Drosophila melanogaster: one gene and its partners. The protein of the gene in region 4 interacts with the protein of the main gene of each other region in a pairwise test. Each region holds a gene or a part of one and is shown on either strand. Other genes may lie near its edges. The genes, in order: Targ, CG42690, CG14823 and Tim17b2.

Region 1 (5,662 bases), on a different chromosome or scaffold from region 4:
GACTTCAATTAAAAATGGATTAAATTAGAGGCGACGATGGGGAAGACTACTGACAATATTAAAAAACACAAGAAAGATTTAGACACAGGACACAGAGGATTGGAGTCATTCGTCCTGCGGATGTCGATTCAAACATTCTTATGTTTATGTGTTCACATTGATTTATATTTTTTTTTTCGTTGCTTTAGCTCTAAATAATATGTAAAAAAATCATCATAAAATATAAAAAATGAAGAAAAAAAAAACAAAACATTGAACAGTAGACGTACAAAGTTTAGAAAGCAAATCAAAGTAAACAAGAAGCGTGAAAATTTGCATACCCAAACAAGGAAAAATGGAAACAAAACCAAATGAAAAACCAAACACAGCACACTTGAACCTATAAGCGTGGAGCCAAAGTGTGTTGTTCAGCAACTAAGCTAATATTAGATGTAAACTAAGCTAACTAATAACTTAAAATGGATTGCAATAAAAGTCAACCCCAAAAAGAACTCACTTGAATTGAAATTATATTGAAAATAAATCTGTAATAAGGAGGAAGTAATAGTTAATGACATCGGTCAATTAACAATTACATGGATATACAAACATTTACTCAGAATTTGGAACGAGGACCAGTAAAAAAAAGTCATAAAAATGCCTAAGCTATTAGTTGTAAGACAATCCCAAGTTCCAAGCAGGAGAACCAATAAATATTGCAATTCCAATAGTCCAATTCCTCATTGGGCCATCCTGTTGCGACATTTAATAAGCAAGGGCAGCAGAAGCTTCAGAAATCCGGACACTATGAGACATAATCCCGCAAAGCAAAAGGCAGCAGAATAGTTTCCCGTGATGCCTATCAATTTACCAGCAATTGTAGTCCCAATAAAGGCGCCCATTCCCATGGCCAATGAGGTAATCCCAAAAGCGTTGGTCAGTTTTGAAAGTCCCAGGTATTTCACGTATATCAAACCTCTCAGTGTGGAATAAACAGCTATTCCATGGAAATGAGAGAGGGTAATATTGTAAACTTAAGTAAGGTAAGTAAATGTACGCACCAGGCGCTACAGCATAGGAGAAGCCATACAGAAACTGGAACCAAATCAAGTTCTCTCCATAGAAGGCGCTAATCAAAACGGAAACACCACCGAAAATTAGACCACAACCACAAAGTCCGAGGGTCCAACTACGCCTTTTGTAAGCGAGGATGCCAAGGATGTTTCTCATCACAAGATTACTAATTCCGATAATGGGGCCGATCATACGGGCATATTCGACGGGGATCGTGGTTCGTGCAGACGAGTAAACAAAGGGTATATTAAAGCCCATCGGGAACAGAAAGGCGGACGCCACCAGAATCTTGAACTCAAACTGTTTCAGCAGGCGGTAGTCGAATAGTTTGAGCACAGTGAGCATAAACCGGCTATTCCTACAGGAATTTTGCTTTTTCTGATTCTCGTTTGACCATCTTCGTTCCCTATGAACTCTAGAAATCCTATCGGGTTCATCATCCACACGAATGTTCTTGATGCCATAGTTCACTTGCTGGGTCTAAGTGAAAGTTGGTGGTGTTCTTAAGTTGAAGCGAATTTATTCTTAATACAACACTTACGTTCTTATCCGATCCCATTAGTAGGAACTCCTTGCCGTCGACGTTCTCCTTGCTGTGCGGCTTTTCGTATTCGGCAGGACCCGTATAGAAGAGATCCTCCCGCTCCAGGGGCGCCGGGCGGATGAGCAGATTCTGCTCATCAGCATTTTGCGACTTCTTCCGCCGCCTCCAACAACAGTTCGAACAGGAGGGGCAGAACTTGGCGCATCCTTTCTTTTTTGGGCGTGGCTCATATGTACTTAGGATACTCCGGCTTTTAGCAGTCATCGCGGATTGACGTAAATAGTCATGCACGTAGAAGTTGCCGTAATACTCATCCGAACTGGTATCCGAAGAACCGGGTAAATGGTACATGCCCACCTGGGTGGGAGCCACCTCCACATAGGCGACCACCATCAACAGGATCAACATTATCAGCCCCGCCTGCGTCCGCAGCATGTTCCTCCATCCGATGATTGGCACCAGCCAGCTGTTGAGGAACGTGAAGAGTACTATGCCCGCACCGCCACCGCTGCAGGAAAATCCATTGGCCATCGGACGGTACCGCTCAAAGTAGTAGCCAACAATCAGCTGCGAACTTGCCCAGATCATGCTCAACGTAATACCACCTGCGCAGGCTAGTACTATTATTCATCGAATATCGTACAGCAATCTAGAATCAACCTACCAAGGACGCTGTAAAAGAAGATCAGCATGGTCAAGCTGACGCTCCAACTGGACGCCAGTATTGAAACTGCGGAACACAGGACCCCAGCGATGGCTACCTTTCGGAAACCAAAACGATTTATCAGGACAGCAGAAAACGCTCCGCTAGTGAAGTAGCAACCAATCTGGACACTGGCCACAAACGATACCGACGATATGGAGACATCCAGATCCTGGGCAATGGATGGCAATAAGACCCCAATGGTAAAAATTAAACCATCGATTATCAGCTGGGCGAGGAAGGACAGCACCATGATTACCCAACCGAATCCGCCGTCCGGTGGTATCACCATATAGATCTGTGGATGACAAGAGTCGTCATTCGTTTCTCAATTCACCACCACAAGAATGCTATTCACTCACTTACAAAAACCATACCGGAGCCAAGTCGTCTTCCACCACGGCTAAAGTCAAAGGACTCCTTCGAATTTTTACTTTCCATGTCGAACGATTGCTTGCGCGTTCGATTTCCGTCGTATTCGCTGAAAGATTCCGGCGATGCGGTATCGGCCAACTGTACTGTAGTTACATTGAACGAGAGACCCGATTCCTGTTGATCGGTTTCCTTAGGGACCACATATGAATCCTCGGAATCGTATTTGGGAATCAAGGGGGATCCTGTAAGAAGGCTACAGTTTTAGCTACAAGAAATGCATTTGGTAGGTTCCTCAATTTCAAGCAAATGGCCAAAAATAGCTTAGACAAAATTCAATTGCATGACAATAAAATAAAAATAAAAAAAAAAACATTTTTGTAAAAAGGAAGGCAGCGCTATGATAACTTACTCTTTTTATAAAACTTTTGCGTTTTGGTAATGAGTGGTTCTGCCCTATCATATTCATCCGTATAGCTAGTAAAGCTCAACATCTGAGACACCTCATCTGTGCTCTCGATATATTCATTCTCATTATCCCTGTGTGTGGACAATTCCTTGCTAAATCCACGGGTCCTAGAGTATTTTTTCTCAAAGGCCGGTTCCACAAACGGCACCTCAGATATTGGCTCAATTGGCCTAGATGGTGGAATTGCTGGCTGGTTTTTCGAAATCTCAGGCTCATTTGATGCCCCCACAAGCATATGGGGAAATCTTCTGATAGGCAGCTTGGGAAGAAAAGTTGGATTAAAGCTTTCGTAGAACGAAGGCAAATCCACTTCACTCCCGTGAGACTGACTAAGGGACAAGAATGATGTGCGCCCATTCAGGATATCCGTTGAAACTGTGCCGACGGCCACACTGACCATTTGTGGTCGCGTGTTTCGCGTATCATTGTAATAGATGGATGAGTTTTGAACCGAGATGTCCAGCCTGGACAGAGATTGGGATCTCAAGCTACTTCCACTTGGCTGTGCAGCGGCGGTCTTATCTTCATATTGGCTGCTGGGGAAGCTGAAAAACAGAGGGATTTGGTCGAGTTGAGTGCTTTGCTGGGCGAACAGACTCAGTCACCTTCGCCTACGATTCCTGCTCATTTTTCGACTCTGTCGCAGAGTGTTCCTGACATCTTTCACAAATCTCTCTGCGTCTCGACCCGAACCCAATGCACAGTGGCTGGCTACGTGTCTGGCTGCAAGATGAGAAGCCCCAGCAACAGGAACGGGAATTCATGGGGATTCGTGGGATTCGGGAACTGTCGCCAGACATTAGCTGCTCCTGGCTACCAAATGCTGTCATGGCTGCCAGGCGAGCGTGACAAACGGAGTTGGTTGGTAGTTGCTTGTTGGTGACCCCCAGTTGCTCCTCCTCCGCAATTGCCCCACTGCAACTGTTACTTTTTAGCCATCGCCTCGCCATCGCCATCTTCTTTTGCCTGGCGAATCCCTATTGCCACAACCCGATCCCAGCTCCGTTCCACCCGCTTGCCTGTTTATTTTGGGGCCGAAACAAAATTGCATCAGTGCAATTTCATTGATTGTAAGTAAATGAAATCATTCCTTAGTCGTCTGAGTTTTGCACGGAGAGCGGAGCGATTGGAGTGGAGCGGCTAAAGTGCATCTCAGCTTTAGGGGCAGTAACTTCATTGGCAGTCACTCAAAGGCAACAAGAGCTGAAGTATTGGGGTCGACTGTTTCCCCAGTTGATTAAATGGAAAGTGATGCCCGGGCTCTTGAATTGGAGGCAGTCGGTCCATGCTTTATGAAACAAACCTCGCCCCTGGAAACTTTAACTAAGCCAGCCCTGCTTTTGCAAAATGAATTACAAACAAAGTGCACTAATTAATTAGCGTAAAGGCCAGCAAACTTTTCGACCAGCCACTTCAGCTTCATCTACACCTTCCCCCCCCCCTGGATTTTTCCTGTTCTCCCGCGGGGGAGCACCGATTGCAGCGGCTATTTTTCCTGGCCAACAACTCTATGCGGAAATTGTTTTTTTCCAAAAGGTTCGCTCGTACGTGCTCGTTTTTTATGGCCCACGTTGTGTTTTCCTATTTTTCGATTTTTTTTCCCCTGAGCGCCTTGAAATCGAAACGGCCAAAAGATTGCGCTGCCAAATTGTTAACAGCAATTGACCCAATTTTATGGGAGCCCTCATGCATGGCCACTCTCGGACGGCAGTGACTCCAATGAAAATAGCGGCGTAAAAGCGAAAACTGCCCCGAGAACAGCAAGCAGCGAGCGGCGACCAACGCGGCGTATACTTATTCTAGTGGACTTCTGTTGTTTTTTTTTTCGCAGGGGGTCAGCTTTGTATGTATATTTTTCGTTCTGTTTTATTTTTTTTTTTTTTTGTTGGGCTTTGTCGTTTGGCTGGCTGCACTCTGTTTGCATTTAACTTGCAAACAAGCTGGGGCAAAAATTCGTAAAGTGAAGGTTGCGTTGCCTATTTTTTCTTTATTGTTATTTGCCTGCAAATCAAGGCAGCTGGACATTGCAAATTCGCTGGCATCGAATCCATTCGCAATTAACTGCAGAACAAACAAGGAAAACCCATTTGGTCCGTGGCCCGGAAAAGGCTCAATTCGCGACAGTATTCGAGGAATTACACACTTAAATCTGGAATCCATAGAGAAGTAGCTGTTGAAATGTAAATAAAATAGATCCCATCATGGCGGCCTTGGACTAGATTTCTTGCCAACTATTGGTTCAGCACCTTGGTGTTAGCCAGATCAAAGCAGAGCGTTCGCCTGTACAGACCAAAATTTCGTGTCTCTCAACCTGCCACAGCACCGGTTCCAATCCAAAACCTCCGTTTAGTTATGTTTCTGGCCAAAAGTTCATCAATACTTCGCCCGCAGCTTCTTAATGAGGTGAAGGGACTAGTGAAGTCACAATTTCTGGCTCTGTCACAGGTCGACCGACGCTTTGCCCACTCGGACGATAGGTGCGCCAATAAGAAATCCAGGAAGTGCGAGCAGAGCCCACCCA
Region 2 (3,782 bases), on a different chromosome or scaffold from region 4:
GAGCGAAGGATTTCATAATCCACGGCATTTGTCTCACTGATTATGCAATCCGAGTAGCCAACAGTTGGGCTGGTACCCTGGTATATGCAGCACACAATTCAGGAAGTCATTTGCCAAACGTATTAAAGCCTTTGTGCAAACAAATGTTTATTTAAATTAGTCGCCCGACAAATAAACACAAAAGACCCAAAAATCGGCCAGAAAGTGCCGAGATACGAAAGCACAGAAATAAACGGTAGCGTTTTGTATTTGATTTTCACTTTCTATTTGCGGTCGGTTTACCATTTGCATTTGATTTGTTGTCACCCATTGTTATTGCCTCTGTTATTTTATGCAAATTCGCATCCCCTGGTCACTGGCTGCTATTTGTTTAATAAAAAAAACTGAAGTCATGCAACAGAGTCGGAATATCGCACAGTCTGTATGTTGATTTTTAGTAAAAGCGGACAGACAAACGTGGCTTAACGTTTATTGATCATTGTTAAAAATATATAACCAAAATTCCCCCTTTTTGGAAATTACATAATATAAAGAAGTTTTTATAAATGGGCTCAGTAATATTTCTTAATAATTTCAGCACTGCCATTATTTATGATATTTCCATCATCTACGCCCAAGTGATAATTTCAAATCATTTGCTGCTCCTTCAGTTCACGCATGTATGCATAAGGATAGGCCGCCCAAACGAAGACCAGCACTGAAAAAAAATTGGTCGTATTATTCATATACTAGCGAAAATTTTAGTTCCAATTGACTAACTTAAAAATATTACATTCAAAATGGCGACCACAATATCTAGATATATACGAAGCCTATTCAGGTATATCATCAATCCGATCTTTATAATTATCAAAGCACCTCCGCAAATCAGTGACACTATTACCCAGATAAGCAGAAGAATAGGTATTTCCTTGAGAAAACATTTGTATCTTAAATTAAACATAGATTGTCTTTACTAGCGAATACTTACCCTAAGTGCACCAATAATCAGAAAAATTGCAGCAATAAAAATGGGAATCCATGCGATCAATGCTGCCACTAACCAATTGTTCATACCATGCAAGGCTAAATATAATGCAGATATTATTTTGGTAGCTTTATAGTAGAATAATTCTTACCTAAATGAAAGCACTCGTAAGATGTCTCTATAGTTCCGACAAAAATCGCAACCAAGGCAATTATCACGCAACAAGGCTTTTGGTTCGCATTCAAGCACATTGTAGTTTTATTTTTCCAATTTTAAAGTATTTCCCATATATCCACAGGAAACAACATTTGATTTAAGCAACTAAAAATATACAAAAAAAAAAAAATGGTTTCAAACTGATAATTTTGTTTGAAATTTAAGTCCAAGACACTGGATATTTTTTATCCGTTTTATCCGTATTAATCTCCTTCCAGCTCACGCGCATACGTATATGGGAAGTATAGAAAACAGCAGAGCAATACTGAAAAATTAAATTTTTTATTATTAAAATGAAAATTATAATACAACTACGTTAACATACATACGAAAACTATAATGACTATACCACCGAGAATATGAAAGGCTGTATCAGGATCCTTATGAAAAAAGCTATGAAACATTTCTATTTGAATAACTATCAGAGAAATGCCGCTTATTAAAGCGACTACTATCCAAATCACCAAAAGATAGCGAATTTCCTAAAACAGGACATGGGTAATATTGGATATTTATTACTTCGCGCTTACTTGCTTTTATTGCTCCTACAATTAGAGGTACCGCTGCTAAAATAATGACAGCCCAGGCTACCAGGTACGCCTCCTCCCAATGGTTTATACCAGTCGTGCCTAAAAACATTGTTATAATAGTATATTTTTTATAAACCTTACTTTACCTAGCCGGTAAAGCATGAATCCTAAACATAAAGTTGATATCAGTATCGCCAATGCTCCGGTAAAGATACATAATAGCTGGCGGTTGGCATTGCAGCACATCTCAATCGGTTCTGTAGATAATAATTCCAAAATTTATAAATCCGAAAATTACAGGATGCGATGGAATGTTATTATTTTTCACCATTATGAATTTTGCAAGGGAAAGAGAAATATAAATTTTATGTAAAAAGCATTTATACAGAATATCTACAGAATTATTTGACATTTAAGTCCAAATTACTTTGGTTTTCATTGATATTTAACACAGGTTTTGATATACAAGTCAACTAACATGTTAGTTAACCCAAAAATAGAGTTATGAAATATTCAGAAACTTATGTCATTTGTTACTAAGAATTTTACAAAAATGAAAATGGTAGTAATTAAAAGTGGCTCAAGAGTTTTGCTAAAATGAAAATCGTAGATTTCAAATGTGGTTTCATAAAAGACACGTTGATATTGAAAATTTAATTTATTCGTATTCCTCTTCTTCAAGTTCACGTTTGTATGCATAAGGGTAGTATGCGGAACAAAATACCAACACTGGAAAAAAATTGTCGTAAAAATATTGCTAAAAAGAAAATTTGAATTGTTAAATTACGTATTAGAAGTATTATAAAGCCGCCTGCAAGAATATAGTATGCGTCACTTGGATGAATGTTTTTGGCTGGAGTGAATAACACAATTTTTATAAAAATTTGAGCAATTCCGACAATCAGTACGATTATTATCCAAATCAGCAGAAGAGTAGTTATTTTCTACAATTAGAAAAATTTACATTTCTTTTCGTTTCTTTAATAATTACTTGCCTTTATTGCGCCTACAATCAGAACAACTGCGGCCATGATTATGAGCAACCAGGCAATCACAGATGCCAGTATCCAACGATTCAAACCATATGTGGCTACGAAATTAACTAATATATAAATGCATAATATGGCACTATTTTACCTAGCAGATGAGTTCGGTATCCTAGATCTAAGGACGCTACAATAAGGGCCAGCACTCCTATAACGACGCAACTGTATTGGCGACTCACATTGCAGCACATCTCAATTTTTGAATGAGTGATAAGATAAGAGGATTTTAATCACAATGATAATGTTTCATTATGCAATTTACGTCTTTTACCGAAATATAAATAGTACATAATCAAAATATTCATGATTTTCCGTTTCTTTATTATTTGAAGTGACATTTAATGCCAAGACGCTTTGTTTCTATGAATAATTTTACACGATAAATATGGGTAACACTGCAGGTGGTTGCCATACTGACTTTTATACCCGTTACTCGTAGAGTAAGCCACGCCCACACTTTTGAAAAATGTTTTGGTATTTTTTTACGTTTTTATTTGTCTTGTAAATTTTTATCGATTTGCAGAAAAAAATTTTTGCCACACACACTCTAACGCCCTAAACCGCCTAAATGTGCCGCGACCACATTTTTAAAAATTGTTGCATATTTTTTAAAAATTGTATTAGTGTTGTAAATTTCTATCCATTTGCCAAAAAAAATCTTCTATAGCATTCTCTCTTGTTTTGTGGTGATTTCCATAGTAGGCTTCGAAATCTAAGACAAGTCTTAGTGATTGTATTATTGCAAGCTGAAACATATCAAACTCCGGAAGGTATATTTTTTTGGAAAACTTTGAATCTTTTTCATATAGACTAATCATTTTCGTATTATTTTCCTTCTGAAAGTAAGCAGGCATGATGTCGAAAGATTTTGATTTTTCTCAGAAGGGTATGAGCGACGCCACTAGTAGCGACTTACGTAACGAGTCAGCACATCCAACATTCTCTGGGACTAAGCAACTTTTCACGTTAAGCTCGCCGTTTTACCAGGGACCCACGTCCTTTGGCGGTAGTGCGGCTATTACT
Region 3 (5,564 bases), on a different chromosome or scaffold from region 4:
ATTATTTCACATGCATGGCGACACCCTCATCCCATTCGTATCCCAAAAGCAATCCCAATCCAAACGGTATAAAGGCCATTTAGCCCAACCACTGGTAATTTTTCCATAATTGATTTTGGCTTGCGGTCTGGCTCGTCCTTTCATCTGGCCATGTGTTAGTCAGGGGCAGGAAACCCTCACGCACCCCCACACATACAAATGAGTTTTTGCCTTGGCCGTATGTGAAGAAAAACATACCGAAATGGGAAACGGAAACGCCTTGAGACAATGGCGACATTGGCGAGGCAATGTGGAAATGGCTGCTGTACAGAAAAACTGAAAGAATAATCAACTAAGTGACGGAGCATTTCTTTTATTTGCCGAGCACCTGTGCAGGATGTGTTCAGAGGCGTCCCCAAAAAAAAGGGACGATAGTTTTGGAAAAATTCTTAACGAATATTTGAGCATGCTCTGGCAAAAGAAGGAAATTATTTGCTTGTATATTTCTTTAAATAGGAAATGAACAACTTAAATAAATTCAAAGTCTTCTTTCCCATTTTAAAATCTTAAAATCTTTAATTTGTTTGATATTTTCGCAAAACATGGAATTCTTTTGTATTTACACTTTTGGAAGCAGTTTGTAAAAATTGTTTGAGTGCCAAAAGTCCAAGAATGCAAGGCGTGATTGGAAGGTGTCAACAACTTTGTTCTCATCTCAATGAAAAGTTTTCGAAAAATCTTTGCTGTCCCACTTGATAGCAAACAAACTTGATCGAAGATATTCTAGAAAAATAATATAAATAAATGGGAAGTAAACAGAGATTTGCAGCATTTTAGGATGCATTGCACGGGTACACCCACACTTTGCTGTTGACAGATTTCGATGGTCGTGAAGTAAGTTTGCGTATGAAGAAGTGGCACTTCAGGAGGCTTCGAGGACGTCCTGGTCACACCCCTTCTCGAAGGATGACGCTCCTTCCACTGGATACTGGTGCCACAAACGGCTGCTGTTGTTTGCTGCCCCAACTTTCGTTCCAATTTCGCCGCAAGAGTCTCAACAATTTCTCATATTTGTTTACAATTCGCGCATACAAATGCGCAAGGTTATCAGCAAAACCAGCCACCCAACCACCACCCATTTGGCAAATATCGCCACCCATTTCCCCCCTTTCAATGGACGGCTGCCATAAGTTGTCATGTCGCAAATGGAAGCGGAGTGTCACCGACACCCAATCTAAAGATACACGTGAAAAAATCAAATGAATATGTAATAAAATCAATAAAAACTACATACTGCTGAAATTTAAAAAAAAAATTATGTTCCATGTCACGAAAACATATGTATTAAATATATTAAACTATGCTTCCATGAAAAATTGTGCATACATTCAGTTCTTTATTAGAGCTGTTATAATTAATCAAATGCCAAAGAAATATAAGAGAATGAAATTAAAAATATACAAAGCTTAAAATTAAATGCAGATACCACATTTTTGATAATATTTTTATTCACTTTCTGAAATAATTTCAATCATATTAGTTTGAGTATTATGTGCAAAATAAGCACGGCTTGGTCGCCAATGCTGCCGAATATAGTACTTTTAAAATAAACTCACTACTTGTTTAAATTCGTGCCACTTTTAGGAATGAAACCACATGCAATTTAAACTTGTTGAGGTGTACAACTACTGATGTTCGGGAATTGGAGAAAAATCACCATGTTGAGCGCCACTTGAATGCGAGAGAAAAATCACCGAAATGCTGGAGGAATGGAGAACAAACGCTGGAACAGATTAGCTGGTCGGGGGAAAAAAAAACGCTGGGAATGTAGAAACCGCAATCGCCGGGCATCAATTACGCCGACAACATTGAGCGATAATCGAGGGGAGGTTATCTCGAGCAGCACCTGTAACTTGGTACCATGTACAAATGCCACAGAGTGTTCCAGCTATTCGCTTGGGTTAGTCGGTTTGCGATAGCAAAGGGAGAAGCCAGCTCGCCATGGAGCCCACATGCAGCAGCAGTGTGGCGGAATTGGCCAAATACAGTGAGGATGATGTGGAAACGGATGAGTCCAAGGTGGTGGAGCATCAGGAATATGCCGAAGCGCTGTCAATGTCCGGGGAAAGTCGTAAGCGGAAACGATGGACTCGAAGGTCCTGCTGCACTCGCCAAGTCCTGAGTACGGGCGCCATTTTCATCGCCCTTCTGCTCATCATCGGCGCCATTTACATGCACTTAAGACAGAAGCATCATCTGGGCCGACTGCACATCAATCTCAAGGATCGGGGGCAAGTGGAGGTCCTGGAGGAGGACTTTCCCATGGTCACCGCTGCGGGAGTGGGTGAGTGTGCCACAAGGACTCTTGTTCAATCGCTAAGAAGCTCTTAGACTTCGGTTAATTTTATAAGCGGTTTATATTGTTGGGATAGTGGTATTTTCTCTCTTTTTCTTTGTTTTGTTTTTTTTCTTTCCCAGCTGACTGATTAGAATTGCCATTAGATGAACCAGCAGATTTCAACGTTTCGAAATTATAGCGATAATAAATAAAAGCTTGTATTTATTACACAACAACTATGCAACGCGTGAGTTGTTTTTATTGTATATAAAAAATTTTAATCGATCATTTCAATAAGTGACAGTCATCGACAGTATGTCAAGCACGTAAAAGTTTGAGATTAAACTGTAAATAATAAATACACATCTGCTAAAGTTTGCCAGCATTCAATATAGATTTATAGTTTCTACATTCGCCTTAAGTTCGACTTGAAAACTTTAGTCTCAAACAATTATTTTTCCGACGGAAGACTTATATTTATTAAGTAACAGGAAGTTTGTAAACACCAAATGTGAACTCAATTTAAGTTTCGTTTAGCAACGTCCTCTGCACTTATAAGGCCAAAATATAGTCGGAACTATGTTTTACATCAATTTAAAGTTCATAAAAGTGCAGTTTAAAGTTGCTTCAGTAAATCTGCTAATAAAACATACTCAAAAAACTTTGCAACTAACGAGGAGAGTGCGGTTTAAACGTGAGGTCTAGGAGCTATTTACGTCCACGGGAACTATGGATAACTCACTGCCAACTATGCTGCATGCTGTTAGCCATATTGTGTGGTAAATAGTTTCGATTAAACGGCTAATTGGACCCTCTTTGGAATGCATTTTGCAGATGCCCAGACCTCGACGATAACAACATTCCAGCCGCCTCCGACATCCTCCCCAGAGCCCAGTGCCAAGTGCCTGGACTGCATGGCCACCACTGCCACGGATAATATTCCGGCAATCTGCAGGCACCGAGGACGACCAGAGGAGCCGTGCGGCATTTATCGCATCTCCCACGTCTACTGGCAGGACGCACTCCGGATAATTGACCCGGACGACTCACTCGCCCGGGGTAATGAATACACTGAGCAAAAATGTTTGGCAACAAAATTACAACAAGTCGAAAGCATAAGCCATTTCTCCATTTCTCTATTAATTTTAAATTTGCTTTTCATCTTCAGTTTCAAGATTTTGTTGTAAATTTCTTCATGTGTATCCTGTTGTTGCCAGGCTGCCACAAGCGTGTAATGTCCACCGACTAACCCTTTTTCCTACATCTCACCCTTCAACCCACAGACTACGGAAGATGCGTGGTGGATGTCCAGTGCGCCGAGCGTATTGTGCGTAGCTATGTGCAGCGATATGGTGGCGAGGATTGCAATGGAGACGGACGGATCGAGTGTCGGGATCATGTGAGGCTGCACATGAGAGGACCCGGCGGCTGCCGCAGGCAGGAGCCACTGGGGAGCCTGTCTGAGAGGAGATTGGAAAACTGCTTGAAATACAGGGGGATTACTTAAAACCGATTGTTCGTTTATTGTTTCAACTGCAGGCGATGCATTATGGGCCGCCAGTAGAGGGTTAGCACAAAGAGGCCTATGAACTCGTGGAACAGCAGCAGGGCGGCGAACTTGTCATCGAACAACTTGGTCGAGGCCCTTCTTCCGCCCATGATGCACTGCACATGATACATCAGGAACTGCAAGTGATTTGTGGTTATGCGGCAGACAGTTGCAGGCTGGTAAAATGCGAAAAATGCTTACCATCATCACCACACAGCCGATACAGAATGCGAAGAGATAAAATCCCCAGATCACGTCGAGAACCACATACAATACCAGGGAGTATATGCTCAGTGAGTAAGTGCCAGTTGCAAGGGCATATAGGTAGAGTCCGGTGCCTGTGAGGTCATACTTAGGCAAGATTTTGGTTGATTATTTAACATCCTTTATCTGTACTAGCTTACCGCCATTAAAGCAGCTATAAGTGTACATAACACAAATGCAAGGCTGACAATCAGAAATCCGGCAAGCATATAAAGTACTCCCGATGATATGATCAGCACACTGAGAGAAACTACCACACATTCCACCTTAATATGCTATGGGGTTACATTGTTAGGTAATTTAATTGTTAGAATACCCACGATAATAAACGTAATCAGCCAGTTGACACAGGACATTTTCCTTAGCGGCATACTTAGGGCAAACAGGAAAAGTAGGAAAATGCCAAATACAAAGGCTAGGAGCAATGCAGATGAGTGCTCGTTTACCAAGACCAGAAACCATTCGCTAGTAGTAATTACATAAATCATAAGTAAAAAAGTTATTATCCAAATCTTACTGCAGCAAGGTTAGCACCAGGATCCAGTGAACAAATCCTATCACAATGAAGACGCATAACTCCAGAATAACCTTTATGATATATCTTCGCCTATCATCCACAGATTCCGAGTGGAAAAACGGCCAGATGGTTATATCTGCCTCGAACATGGCAAAAGAAAAAATAGTTTGATTTTGGGCACCAGGCCGTCTGAGGCAAAGTAACTCTGAGATTCGTATAAAAAATTTACGCTATTCCCGGCATGGACACACTAATTGCACATCGAAATGGGCCGTCCAGAGCACAAAGTTAATGGGAGCGAATTAGAACAAACAATGACGACGATTCGGCGTACATAATTGAACTCGACAAAACTTTATAATCTGGCAGCATCGCGAACAAATTGAACAACAACTCGCAAGTGTGTAATAATTAAAAGTTTGCGCAAAATGTAGCGGACAAACAAGCGGAGGGGAGACAAAAGTTTTGGCGCAAGTTTTAAATCATTTAGCAGGGCCGGACTAATTGCTGCCATGTCGCATTAATTTGTTGCGACTGATAGCGGGCAAACAGTGCGTATGCGCAATGCATAAATTTATGATTTCCATCATGGCCTACCTAGGATTTGTCGGACTCTTAATCGCAGGATAAAGAGACTTATGGCATAGGTTTGCATATACTTATAATACAAATCTAAGAACTTTTTGTTAATTCATGATTCAACTTCAATGTTTATAAAGTTGGCAGAGTTTTAATACCGAGATATTTTTCTCTGTATTTTATATTTCACATTTAATTATTTTAGCCTTACCGACATCAATGCCCAAGTAAGTCGGCATTGTTTATCCCTAGGACGATGACGTTGATTTCTGCCTCGCCTGAGTCCTAATCTCTCGATTGCATGACAAGTGTACATAACTTTATTCAATCAAATGTGC
Region 4 (3,043 bases):
CTTTGTTCTGGCTGGCGTTTTGGCATGTGCAGGGATTCTCTTCGAGCGGGCAAATGAGTTCCGTTCTGGATTCCCTTTGTAGTGGGTTATGCAGATGCATATTCCTTAAGATATAACAAAATGTTGCATCACAGCTGCCCAAACACTGGCCTCTAACGGAGCATTCGGAGATCGGAAGATGGAAAACGGAACCGTTTTAGAGATCATATCTGTTCGATATTATAATTTTTGAGTTTTTACTGTTTACATAATCATTATTGTTTTAAAAAACATTGCCACAATAGATTACCAAACCTGCATTTCTGTAGCGTACATTGTGGAGCTCGATTTACAGTTGTAGAATGCTGTTCTTAAAATTTTGAATATGGTTTTAAATTGTTCTGTATCCAAAGACAACTGCAGTTTTTTTAATTTCACATAATACGTTGGTATTTTAACAACAAATAATGTTAATAAAATTACTAAATGGGCTAGTAGGCCAATTCCATTTGGCCTGTGACTTCCCAGAAAACTGTAAGGCTCGAATCTCCGGAATTCGTGGGAAACCCATGGTCGGATCGCGTCCTAGAACGGAATGGCCAATCCTTTCGCATAATGTGCCCACATTAACACCACATCGATCTAATCCCATCTAAATCATTTATAAGCGACAACAATTACCGTGGAAATGAAGATTTCATTGGAAATCCCGCAGCAGTGGCAAACAATATGCCCAGTATTTACATTTACAAATTATATATAATGTCTTATCCTGCAGCCATTTCCCGTCAAATGATCCCCGATAACCTTCTCGGGAGTGAGAGCAATCAATCGAGTGCAACACGTTCTAACGATTTACATGTCAAGTTGACGAGATTTGTCCTGTTGAACAATGGACTGGCGCTTCGTGTGTGTCCAGGTGTCCCCTCATACTTAAATGCCTGCCCATCGATTTCGGTTTCGATCGGGGTTTCGCTTTCATTTGTCACTGCTGTCTGACACCTTGTTATGCGGAGATATCCATCGAGGGCCCGAATGCGAAGACTTCCCCCTTTTTCGAGCTAAGCAAACACAGTTGCGGCAGTTTCAAAATTTCGATTATGCTCGCGTGATAATTATGCATGCAATCGTAAGCTTCCCTCCTGAAGTAGTTTGACATACGCAGTATAAAATAGTATTGGGTCTGGAGTTCTGGTTTGGTTCGGCTTGGCTTTATCGGTCGACGACAATCGGTCTCATTGTTTCCGTTTCCCACCGTCTGGCTTTGCCTTTGTACGAATTGCGTCTTTCGAATGGCCCCATCCCCATCCCAATCCGAATCCCAATCCCCCGTCCCCTCCCCATTCTCGAGCCGAAGTTGTCCAGCTGCGGCAGTAAATTTTATGGTTAACTACGGTCCGACATTTGTGCTATTTAACCTTTTTGTGCCATTGAGCTTCGGGGCAAAAGATCCCCGATCCACGTGCGACTCTGTTTGCTCTGACTCTGGTTCATATGCTAATGGGTGTCTGGTGGGGGCACAAACAAAACCAAGTACTTCTTACTTACAACCTGTAGTTTGAAATTTGAGTTCCTGGACATGTTCTCCATGATTTTAAATCTACTAGGTATGTAGCAAGCTTAGTCGCACAATTCACAACAAACTCTGGAATTGACAGACACAAAACTCATAATTTCCTTATACATATCGAGCGACGCCAAGTCACATATAACTCATTTGTAGAAAATAAGCAGAAGGCTTGAAATTTAGCAAATTCAGTTTTTAATTTCGGCCAGTGATAGGAAATCCTGCCAGTGGAAAAGTGCAAAGATGGAGGAGTATTCGCGGGAACCGTGTCCCCATCGCATCGTCGACGACTGCGGAGGAGCCTTTATCATGGGCTGCGTTGGAGGCGGGCTCTTCCAGGGACTCAAGGGATTCCGGAACGCACCACAGGGACTAGGACGCAGGGTCGCCGGCAGTGTGGCTGCCATCAAGACCAAATCTCCGGTGATAGGTGGAAGTTTCGCCGCCTGGGGTGCAGTGTTCAGCATTGTGGACTGCAGTCTGGTCCACTTTCGCCAAAAGGAGGATCCCTGGAACTCGATAGTGAGCGGAGCAGTTACTGGTGGAATTCTGGCCTCACGCAATGGAGCGGCGGCCATGGCTGGAAGTGCAATTATCGGTGGCGTACTGCTCTCAATGATCGAGGGCTTAGGCATATTTTTTACACGTTTCGCGGCGGAACAGTTCCGAAATCGTGAACCGCATATCATGCCTGATGCCAATGAAGGATACGGTGACTTCAACTCTTCCGGATTTGGATTTCCGGGTGCTCAGCAGGCCACTGCAACTAGCTAAATTCCGATTTTTCTTGTCTGGGTATATTAATACGTAGTCCTTTTTGATTTTCATAAGTGCTAGATTTAGCAATATTCCATTTGAAAAATTCGATGACAATAAAATATGGACAAAATTGCAGTATTTCCATTTAAGCTGTTTTTGCAAAGGAACCAATTTATTAAATTTCAAACAATTTAACACGGATTTATAATTATTAAAATACAATTAGCTGCCGTTTGCAGCTCGTTTTGGAAGAAGGAACAAATGCAATTGGCCCTCTTATCGTTCTCCGTGTTAATTCATTCGTATTCATAATCATTATTGCCTCAACAGGTAGTAGGTTGTTTCACACTTGCCCGAATCCACGACAAAGACACCTGACACGTGTCATAGGTCAGCGTGAGATATTGGCAAATGTTTACCTGTTCCAGATGACTACCTGCGATGCTGCGCCGGCGCATAGAGTCAAGTGTCCGGTCGGCGGGTGTGGCCACTTTACAACCTGTCCACTCGAGATGACCGCGGTGTTCTGGCCATTAGACTGAGTGAGGTACTGAGTGGCACTGGCTACCGGCCACATGTCCTGCTCCTAGCTGGAAAGTCTCGAGCGCACTCAAATCAGAACTTTTCCCCCGCAAGGCAAAAAACCAAAGGCAACGCCGATTTCCCAGCAACACATGGACGGTGGGAAGATGGGAAGTCGAGCCCAGTTATAAAATCGTGGGAAAACGCCGCCTACAA

Evidence for each region.
Region 1: the proteins of Tim17b2 (region 4) and Targ interact in a two-hybrid assay, tested with the Drosophila melanogaster proteins (one large-scale study listed by BioGRID).
Region 2: the proteins of Tim17b2 (region 4) and CG42690 interact in a two-hybrid assay, tested with the Drosophila melanogaster proteins (one large-scale study listed by BioGRID).
Region 3: the proteins of Tim17b2 (region 4) and CG14823 interact in a two-hybrid assay, tested with the Drosophila melanogaster proteins (one large-scale study listed by BioGRID).

The regions. Positions count from the first base shown.
Region 1 is NT_033778.4:14,666,523-14,672,184, reverse strand, and holds Targ (tarag), read right to left. Parts: upstream 3,795-5,662; 5' UTR 3,770-3,794; coding exon 3,747-3,769; intron 3,738-3,746; exon of another isoform or gene 3,687-3,737; coding exon 3,085-3,686; intron 2,918-3,084; coding exon 2,667-2,917; coding exon of another isoform or gene 2,663-2,666; intron 2,599-2,662; coding exon 2,262-2,598; intron 2,212-2,261; coding exon 1,595-2,211; intron 1,534-1,594; coding exon 1,041-1,533; intron 977-1,040; coding exon 720-976; 3' UTR 510-719; downstream 1-509. Other genes in the region: CG12860 (uncharacterized protein), read left to right, coding at 5,494-5,662.
Region 2 is NT_033778.4:19,943,722-19,947,503, forward strand, and holds CG42690 (uncharacterized protein), read right to left. Parts: upstream 2,157-3,782; 5' UTR 1,960-2,156; coding exon 1,860-1,959; intron 1,813-1,859; coding exon 1,718-1,812; intron 1,666-1,717; coding exon 1,509-1,665; intron 1,449-1,508; coding exon 1,387-1,448; 3' UTR 1,219-1,386; coding exon of another isoform or gene 1,119-1,218; intron 1,066-1,118; coding exon of another isoform or gene 971-1,065; intron 911-970; coding exon of another isoform or gene 760-910; intron 698-759; coding exon of another isoform or gene 627-697; 3' UTR 542-626; downstream 1-541. Other genes in the region: CG43195 (uncharacterized protein), read right to left, coding at 627-697, 760-910, 971-1,065, 1,119-1,218; CG42691 (uncharacterized protein), read right to left, coding at 2,372-2,442, 2,501-2,657, 2,709-2,803, 2,851-2,950; CG30447 (uncharacterized protein), read left to right, coding at 3,612-3,782.
Region 3 is NT_037436.4:7,064,404-7,069,967, forward strand, and holds CG14823 (uncharacterized protein), read left to right. Parts: upstream 1-1,910; 5' UTR 1,911-1,980; coding exon 1,981-2,323; coding exon of another isoform or gene 2,324-2,370; exon of another isoform or gene 2,371-2,457; coding exon of another isoform or gene 2,458-2,465; exon of another isoform or gene 2,466-2,564; intron 2,565-3,151; coding exon 3,152-3,376; intron 3,377-3,600; coding exon 3,601-3,824; 3' UTR 3,825-3,838; coding exon of another isoform or gene 3,839-4,003; 3' UTR 4,004-4,067; coding exon of another isoform or gene 4,068-4,217; 3' UTR 4,218-4,270; coding exon of another isoform or gene 4,271-4,396; 3' UTR 4,397-4,450; coding exon of another isoform or gene 4,451-4,595; 3' UTR 4,596-4,647; coding exon of another isoform or gene 4,648-4,796; 3' UTR 4,797-5,060; downstream 5,061-5,564. Other genes in the region: CG32391 (uncharacterized protein), read right to left, coding at 3,839-4,003, 4,068-4,217, 4,271-4,396, 4,451-4,595, 4,648-4,796.
Region 4 is NT_033779.5:15,483,048-15,486,090, forward strand, and holds Tim17b2 (translocase inner membrane 17), read left to right. Parts: upstream 1-1,681; 5' UTR 1,682-1,789; coding exon 1,790-2,320; 3' UTR 2,321-2,498; downstream 2,499-3,043.